Macaca mulatta: one gene and its partner. The protein of the gene in region 1 binds, or shares a complex with, the protein of each later gene. Links are inferred from orthologs where the notes say so. Each region holds a gene or a part of one and is shown on either strand. Other genes may lie near its edges. The genes, in order: ALB and FCGRT.

What was found.
Region 2: the proteins of ALB (region 1) and FCGRT are in contact, whole or in part, in a crystal structure (PDB 6QIO), measured with the Homo sapiens proteins. The link is inferred for Macaca mulatta from reciprocal best matches to the Homo sapiens genes ALB and FCGRT. Residues at the interface, in NP_000468.1 of Homo sapiens: Arg105, Glu106, Thr107, Tyr108, Gly109, Glu110, Asp113, Asn133, Asn135, Gln441, Ser443, Pro445, Thr446, Glu449, Leu484, Leu487, His488, Thr491, Pro492, Val493, Tyr521, Val522, Pro523, Lys524, Thr530, Phe531, Thr532, Phe533, His534, Asp536; in NP_001129491.1 of Homo sapiens: Arg65, Glu67, Glu69, Gly72, Ala73, Val75, Trp76, Gln79, Val80, Ser81, Trp82, Trp84, Glu85, Lys86, Thr89, Arg92, Asn172, Lys173, Leu175, Thr176, Leu179, Phe180, His184, Glu188, Arg192, Gly195, Asn196, Trp199, Lys200, Glu201.

What each region holds. Positions count from the first base shown.
Region 1 is NC_133410.1:60,476,405-60,480,208, reverse strand, and holds part of ALB (albumin), read left to right. Parts: intron 1-914; coding exon 915-1,044; intron 1,045-2,338; coding exon 2,339-2,553; intron 2,554-3,804. UniProt on the Homo sapiens protein: Binds water, Ca(2+), Na(+), K(+), fatty acids, hormones, bilirubin and drugs. Its main function is the regulation of the colloidal osmotic pressure of blood. Major zinc transporter in plasma, typically binds about 80% of all plasma zinc.
Region 2 is NC_133424.1:61,952,653-61,957,211, forward strand, and holds the start of FCGRT (IgG receptor FcRn large subunit p51 precursor), read left to right. Parts: upstream 1-1,686; 5' UTR 1,687-1,821; intron 1,822-1,943; exon of another isoform or gene 1,944-2,018; intron 2,019-2,105; exon of another isoform or gene 2,106-2,557; intron 2,558-2,700; 5' UTR 2,701-2,714; coding exon 2,715-2,787; intron 2,788-3,386; coding exon of another isoform or gene 3,387-3,404; coding exon 3,405-3,656; intron 3,657-3,733; coding exon 3,734-4,009; intron 4,010-4,559. UniProt on the Homo sapiens protein: Cell surface receptor that transfers passive humoral immunity from the mother to the newborn. Binds to the Fc region of monomeric immunoglobulin gamma and mediates its selective uptake from milk.

The DNA of each region.
Region 1 (3,804 bases):
TCACCCTCACTCCTTACCTATTAGTCAACAGCAAATCAACACAACAGAAGATAAAATGAAAATAACAGACGTTATGCATGCTCTCTAGAAACTGTCAATTGAACCGTATTTGCCCATCATTCCTACCATCTACACCACCAAAATAAGCCAAGTTTATAAACAAAACAACCCCAACATAAAATTATACACAGATAAACAGGCAATGATTGATTTTTGGGAAAAAAGTCTTCTTTACCCGATTTTGGCAACTGTGAAATGACTAGAGAATGAAGAAAATTAGACGTTTACATCTTGTCATAGAGTTTGAAGATAGTGCTGGATCTTTCTTTTTATAAGTATGATCAATAAAAACTCCCTCATTCTGTTGAAGTTATAAGATTTCTTTTCTAAGAGACCTTTAGAAGTCAGAAAGAATGTGTTTCAATTGAGAAAAAAGATAATTGGAGTTTGTACTTCCTAGATTATAAAATGCTTTTGTATGTATTATCTAATTTAATCCTCAAAAGAATTCTTCAATTTAGCATGTTGTCATGGCACTGCAGAGGCTAAAGTGCAGAGAGGCTGAGCCCTCTGCTAACAAGTCCTGCTGCTAACAAGTGATAAAGCCAGAGCTGGAAGTCACATCTGGACACCAAACCTGATGCTTCTCAGCCTGTTACCCCTTTTAGAGTTCCTTTTTTATTTCTGCTTTTATGACTTACTAGATTTCTACCCACCACACACACACTCTTAAATGGATGATTCTGCCCTAAGGAAAAATGATTACCGTTTGGTTCAGAACTAGAACTAATGAATTTTAAAAAATATTTCTGTATGTCCATTTTGAATTTTCTTTTGAGAAATAGTATTTGCCTAGTGCTTTCATATAAAATATTGCATGATAATACCATTTTGATTGGCGATTTTCTTTTTAGGGCAGTAGCTCGCTTGAGCCAGAAATTTCCCAAAGCTGAGTTTGCAGAAGTTTCCAAGTTAGTGACAGATCTTACCAAAGTCCACACGGAATGCTGCCATGGAGATCTGCTTGAATGTGCTGATGACAGGGTAAAGAGTCATCGACATGCTCTTTGGTAGCTTGCAAACTCAAGTTGGTAGAATGGATGCGTTTGGTATCATTAGTGATAGCTGACAGTGGGTTGAGACTGTCTTCTGTGCTTTTGTCTGCCCTATCTTCAATCTTTCCGTGCCTATGGTGGTGATACCTTTCTGTTTTTAACCTGGCTATAAATAACCTGATAAACCCATTCACTGATTTGTAACTCCTTTCACTCATGCTCTAACTGTAAATAAAGGCTTAAACTGAAGTAGAACAGTTACAAGGTTCTACTTGGCAGAACATCTGCAAGGTAGATGTCTAAGAAGATTTTTCTTTTCTTTTCTTGAGACAGAGTTTCACTCTTGTTGCCCAGGCTGGAGTGCAATGGTGTGATCGTGGCTCAGCGCAACCTCTGCCTCCTGGGTTCAAGTGATTCTCATGCCTCAGCCTCCCAAGTAGCTGGGATTACATGCATGCGCCACCATGCCTGGCTAATTTTGTATTTTTAGTAGAGGCGGGATTTCACCATGTTGTCCAGGCTGGTCTCGAACTCCTGACCTCAGGTGATCCACCACCTCGGCCTCCCAAAGTGCTGGGATTACAGGCATGAGCCATCGTACTCGGCCTAAGAAGATTTTTTGAGGGAGGTAGGTGGACTTGGAGAAGATCACTACTTGAAGATATTTTTGGAAATGACGTATTTTTCTTCTCTATATTCCTTCCCTTAATTAACTGTCTTTGTTAGACGTGCACATATTTGGAATGATATCTCTTTTCTCCAAACTTATAATATTTTCTTTCTCCCTTTCTTCAAGATTAAACTTATGGGCAAATACTAGAATCCTAATCTCTCGTGGCACTTTCTGGAAAATTTAAGGCAGCTATTTTATGTATGTAAGCAGGGTCTATGGCTATGATCTTGACTCATTTTTCAAAAATCTTCCATATTTTATTGGGTTATTTGGTTTCAAAAGGCCTGCACTTAATTTTGGGGAGATTATTTGGAAAAACAGCATTGAGTTTTAATGAAAAAAACTTAAATGCCCTAACAGTAGAAACATAAAATTAATAAATAACTGAGCTGAGCACCTGCTACTCATTAGTCTATTTTAATCAAGTGGGAATGTTTTTGTAGTCCTATCTACATCTCCAGGTTTAGGAGCAAACAGAGTATGTTCATAGAAGGCACATGTGTATGGTCTTAGAATACAATGAATATGTTCTGCCAATTTAATAAAGGTCTGAGGAGAATGTATAGCAATGTCAATTCGTGTTGAACAATTTCCACCAACTTACTTATAGGCGGACCTTGCCAAGTATATGTGTGAAAATCAAGATTCAATCTCCAGTAAACTGAAGGAATGCTGTGATAAACCTCTGTTGGAAAAATCCCACTGCCTTGCCGAAGTGGAAAATGATGAGATGCCTGCTGACTTGCCTTCATTAGCTGCTGATTATGTTGAGAGTAAGGATGTTTGCAAAAACTATGCTGAGGCAAAGGATGTCTTCCTGGGCATGTAAGTAGATAAGAAATTATACTTTTATAGCTTTGGTGTGACTTCACAATTTAGGAGGATGGTCTAGGCTTTTCTGTGGAATTGCTACAATTTCCCTGCTGCCCAGAATGTTTCTTCATCCTTCCCTTTCCCAGCCTTTAACAATTTTTGAAATAGTTAATTAGTCAAATACATTATCATAAAATAATATATGCTCATGGCAAAAGCTCAACATTCCTTACTCCTTAGGGATATTTCTGAAAATACCTCTAGAAACATTTTGTGTATATATAAATTATGTATACTTCATTCATTCATTCCAGGTGTAGTTCTTGAACATCTATGTGTGTGACTACGTATTGCCTGTCTGTCTGACTAATCTAATCTCATCTAATCTAGTCTATCTATCTAATCTATACAATGGTAGCAAAGAAGTATAAAAAGAAATATAGAGTCTGACATCAGGTGCTTTATATTTGGTGAAAAGACTGGAAGTTCAGTATAATGGCAATATGGTATGAAACTCAATTACAAAATAAATGTTTATATATTATCAGAAAGTGTGGTGATAAAGTTTGCATTTTTGTTGTTGGATTATGATAACATACTATGCACTAAATAATATTTCATAAAATTATGTACCTTACAAGATTTCACTCATACAGAGAAGAAACAGAGTATTTTAAGAACATATCTCTACCCATCTATCAAAACCCTTTTGAGATGTAGTTTAAATCAAACAAAATATTAATAAAAATAACAGGTGTCATTCATCAAAGACTTCATATGTGCCAAGCAGTGTGTGCTTTGTGTAGATTATGTCATGTAGTTATCATAATCCACCTTCTGGGACAGATAACATTTTTTTTCTTGAGACAGAGTTTTCCTCTTGTTGCCCAGGCTGGAGTGCAATGGCGCCATCTTGGCTCACCGCAACCTCTACCTCCCAGGTTCAAATGATTCTGCTGCCTCAGCCTCCCGAGTAGCTAGGATTACAGGCACGCACCACCATGCCTGGCTAATTTTGTATTTTTAATAGAGACAGGGTTTCACCATGCTGGTCAGGCTGGTCTAAAACTCCTGACAGCAGGTGATTTGCCTGCCTCAGCCTCCTGAAGTGCTGAGACTACAAGTATGAACCACGGCGCCCAGCCGACAAATACTATTGTTATCTTGTTATCTCCATTCTACCGAGAAGGAGACGAAGGCTCTGATCATTTAAATAAGTTGCCTAAGGTGATGCAGTAATATAAGTGGCAGAGCTAGGAATTG
Region 2 (4,559 bases), on another chromosome or scaffold:
GGTCAGCAGATCGAGACCATCCTGGCTAACCCGGTGAAACCCCGTCTCTACTAAAAAATACAAAAAACTAGCCGGGTGAGGTGGCGGGCGCCTGTAGTCCCAGCTACTCGGGAGGCTGAGGCAGGAGAATGGCGTAAACCCGGGAGGCGGAGCTTGCAGTGAACTGAGATCCGGCCACTGCACTCCAGCCTGGGCGACATAGCGAGACTCTGTCTCAAAAAAAAAAAAAAAAAAAAAAAAACTATCGCTCTGTCTCGCAAAGAGACTCAGAAAGTAAAAATAAAAGTGAGAACTCCCACTAATTAGTGAAAATGCTCAAAGCGGGGGATAAGGAAGGAGACCACTACTACTCCTGCTGCCCTCCTCCCCCCACCTTGCCTAGTTCACAAGACAGGAGGAAAGAGAGAAAGAAACAAAAGTAAGATAAATAGCCAGACAACTTTGGCACCACCACCCAGCCCTAGGAGTTAAAAAAAAAAAAAAGTAATAATAATAACATCAACCCCTGGCCTAAACTACTTGTGTTATCTGTAAATCCTAGACACTGTATGAAAAAAAAAAGCATTGTAAAACTTTTTGTTCTGTTAGCTGATGCACGTAGCCCCCAGTCACGTTTCCCACACTTGCTCGATTTATCACGACCCTTTCACGTGGACCCCTTAAAGTCGTAAGCCTTTAAAAAGGCCAAGTATTTCTTTTTCCGGGAGCTTGGCTCTTAAGACGCGAGTCTGCTGACGCTCCCAGCTGTATAAAAAACCTCTTCCTTCTTTAATCTGGTGTCTGAGGAGTTTTGTCTGTGGCTCATCCTGCTACACAACCTCCACCTCCTGGGTTCAAGCAATTCTCCTGACTCAGCCTCCAGAGCAGCTGGGACTACAGGTGCTCCACCACACCCAGTTAATTTTTTTTTTTTTTTTTTTTTTGAGAGGGAGTCTCGCTCCCAGGCTGGAGTGCGGTGGTGGCACGATCTCCGCTCACTGCAAGCTCCACCGCCTGAGTTCACCCCATTCTTCTGCTTCAGCCTCCTGAGTAGCTGGGACTATAGGCGCCCGCCACCACGACGGGCTAATTTTTTGTATTTTTAGTAGAGATGGGGTTTCACGGTGTTAGCCAGGATGGTGTCGATCATCCTGACCTCGTGATCCGCCCGCCTTGGCCTCCCAAAGTGCTGGGATTACAGGCGTTAGCCACCGCGCCCGGTCTAATATTTGTATTATTAGTAGAGACGGGGGTGTCACCGTGTTAGCCAGGCTGGTCTCGAACTCCTGACCTCGTGATCCGCCCGCCTCTGCCTCCCAGCGTCCTGGGATTACAGGCGTGACTCACTGCGCCCGGCCAGCAGAAGGATATTAAAGAGCACCTGCAGGACCTTTCTAACGGGATGTCGGGGGAAGGGCTTGAAGGAGGAACTAGGGAGGCTTCCATAAGATTTTGATTAACAGCCAGCGCTAGGGAAGGTCACAGGGATACAAAAGGGTAGGAGGAGGATCCAGAGACCTCCAAGTTGTGGACTTCGAAGGCATCCGGTTCCTTTCCCAGCTTTGTCAAGAATTCCCTGGGCGGCGGACACCCTCAAAATAAAAAAAACGGGAACCACAGGGAAGGGGAAAAAGAAGAACCACAAGCGTTTTGAGAAACAAACAGAGGCTGGGCCTAGGGCCTGGGGTGTGCCCTGCAACTGGGGGGGGTGGGGCTGGATGTTCTTGGAGTCAGGGAGCAGCAGCCTCCCACAGGATGTGAGAGAGGAACTGGGGTCTCCAGTCACGGGAGCCAGGAGCCGGCCAGGGCCGCAGGCAGGAAGGGAGCGAGGCTGAAGGGAACGTGAGCCGACCAGGCCCCGATTGAGGGAGGAGGGAAGGGCCTGGACCCCTGGGCCTGAGGGAGGAGGGGCTGGGGGTCTGGACAGTGCGTCTGAGGGAGGAGGGGCTGGGGGTCTCGACACTGGTTCTGAGGGAGGAGGGGCTGGGGGCCTGGACGCCTGGGACGGAGGGAGGAGGCACTGGGGGTCTGGACACTGGGTCCGAGGGAGGAGGGGTTGGGGGCCCGGACTCCTCGGTCGGAGGGTGGAGGGGCTGGTGGCCCGGACTCCTGGGTCCGAGGGAGGAAGGGTTGGGGGCCCGGACTCCTCGGTCGGAGGGTGGAGGGGCAGGCGGCCCGGACTCCTGGGTCCGAGGGAGGAAGGGTTGGGGGCCCGGACTCCTCGGTCGGAGGGTGGAGGGGCTGGGGGCCCGGACTCCTCGGTCGGAGGGTGGAGGGGTTGGCGGCCCGGACTCCTGGGTCCGAGGGAGGAGGGGTTGGCGGCCCGGACTCCTCGGTCGGAGGGTGGAGGGGCTGGGGGCCCGGACTCCTCGGTCGGAGGGTGGAGGGGCTGGGGGCCCGGACTCCTCGGTCGGAGGGTGGAGGGGTTGGGGGCCCGGACTCCTGGGTCCGAGGGAGGAGGGGCTGGGGCCTGAGGGGGACGGAAGGGGCGTGGCCGAGCTCGGGGCCGGGACTCTCAGCCTATCAAGTTTCTGTAATTAATTAACTGAGATCCAGTTCAGGGGTGAAAGTTCTTCAGGTAGGAGGAGGGCATTGTTGTCAGTCTGGACCGAGCCCGCAGAGCCCCTCCTCGGCGTCCTGGTCCCGGCCCTGCCCTTGGTACCCCGGGAGGAAGGGGCGGGCCGGGGGTCGGGAGGAGTCACGTGCCCCCTCCCGCCCCAGGTCGTCCTCTCAGCATGAGGGTCCCGCGGCCTCAGCCCTGGGCGCTGGGGCTCCTGCTCTTTCTCCTGCCCGGGAGCCTGGGCGCAGGTGAGGGCCGCTGCGGGCCGGGGCCCTGCTGCAGGCGGGCGGTGGGAGGCGGCCCCAGGCAGGCAGGGGCGAAGCCAGCGGGACCCGAGTTCCCCGCGAGTCCCGGGCGCTGCCTTCTCCGCTCAGTTCACTTTCTCAGCGTCTCCTGCTGGGCCTGAGGCTGAGAACCACCTGTCGCTTCTGTGTCTCTGTTTCCCTCTCTCTCTCTCTGGGCCTCTGTCTGGGTCTCTGTCCCTTTCTCTCTCTCTCTCTCTGGGTCTCTGTTTCTCTCCCTGGGTCTCTGTCTCTGTCTTTCTGTCTCTCTGGGTCTCTGTCCCTCTCTCTCTCTGTGTCTCTGTCCTTCTCTCTCTGTCTCTCTCTGGGTCTCTGTCCCCCCCCCCCCCGGTCTCTGTCCTTCTCTCTCTCTCTCTCTCTGGGTCTCTGTCTCTCTCTCTCTGGGTCTCTGTCTCTCTCTCTCTGGGTCTCTGTCTCTGTCTCCCTCTCTCTCTCTGGGTCTCTGTCCCCTCCCTCTGAATCTTCCCTCTCCATAATAGATTCTTCTCCCTCCCTGGATATCTGTCCCACTGCAATCTAGTTCCCCGCCCATGTTCTCCCTTCAGCTCTGTCTCTGTCTGCAGAAAGCCACCTCTCCCTCCTGTACCACCTCACCGCGGTGTCCTCGCCTGCCCCGGGGACGCCTGCCTTCTGGGTGTCCGGCTGGCTGGGCCCGCAGCAGTACCTGAGCTACGACAGCCTGAGGGGCCAGGCGGAGCCCTGTGGAGCTTGGGTCTGGGAAAACCAAGTGTCCTGGTATTGGGAGAAAGAGACCACAGATCTGAGGATCAAGGAGAAGCTCTTTCTGGAAGCTTTCAAAGCTTTGGGGGGAAAAGGTGAGATTCGAATCCGGAGGGGCAAGGGGCTGGGTCCATGCTCCTGGGCCCCACTTACATGTGTGTGGGCGCCCCAGGCCCCTACACTCTGCAGGGCCTGCTGGGCTGTGAACTGAGCCCTGACAACACCTCGGTGCCCACCGCCAAGTTCGCCCTGAACGGCGAGGAGTTCATGAATTTCGACCTCAAGCAGGGCACCTGGGGTGGGGACTGGCCCGAGGCCCTGGCTATCAGTCAGCGGTGGCAGCAGCAGGACAAGGCGGCCAACAAGGAGCTCACCTTCCTGCTATTCTCTTGCCCACACCGGCTGCGGGAGCACCTGGAGAGGGGCCGTGGAAACCTGGAGTGGAAGGGTGAGCCGGATCTGCAGCCACAGGCTGTTCTGTCCTCTCTGCCATCACGCCCACCTGCCTCAGTTCCCCTGTCAGGACCCTCAGTCAGCCTCCCACTGCAGCCCACGCTCTGCCCCCATTCCTCAGGGGTTTTTCTACATTCAGCCCTCCCATGGCTCCCCAGCGCCCCCCAAGACAAACTCTTGGCTTCCTTGCCTTTTTTTGTTGAGACGAAGTTTCACTCTTGTTGCCCAGGCTGGAGTGCAATGGTGTGATCTCGGCTCACTGTAACCTCCGCCTCCCGGGTTCAAGTGATTCTCCTGCCTCAGCCTCCCTAGTAACTGGATTACAGGCATGCATCACCATGCCTGGCTAATTTTGTATTTTTAGTAGAGGCGGGGTTTCTTCATGCTGGTCAGGCTGGTCTCAAATTCCCAACCGCAGGTGATCCGCCCGTCTCAGCCTCCCAAAGTGCTGGGATTACAAGCGTGAGCCATCGCACCTGGCTGTCTTTTTTTTTTTTTTTTTTTTTTTTTTTGAGACAGATTCTCTGTCACCCCAGGCTGGAGTG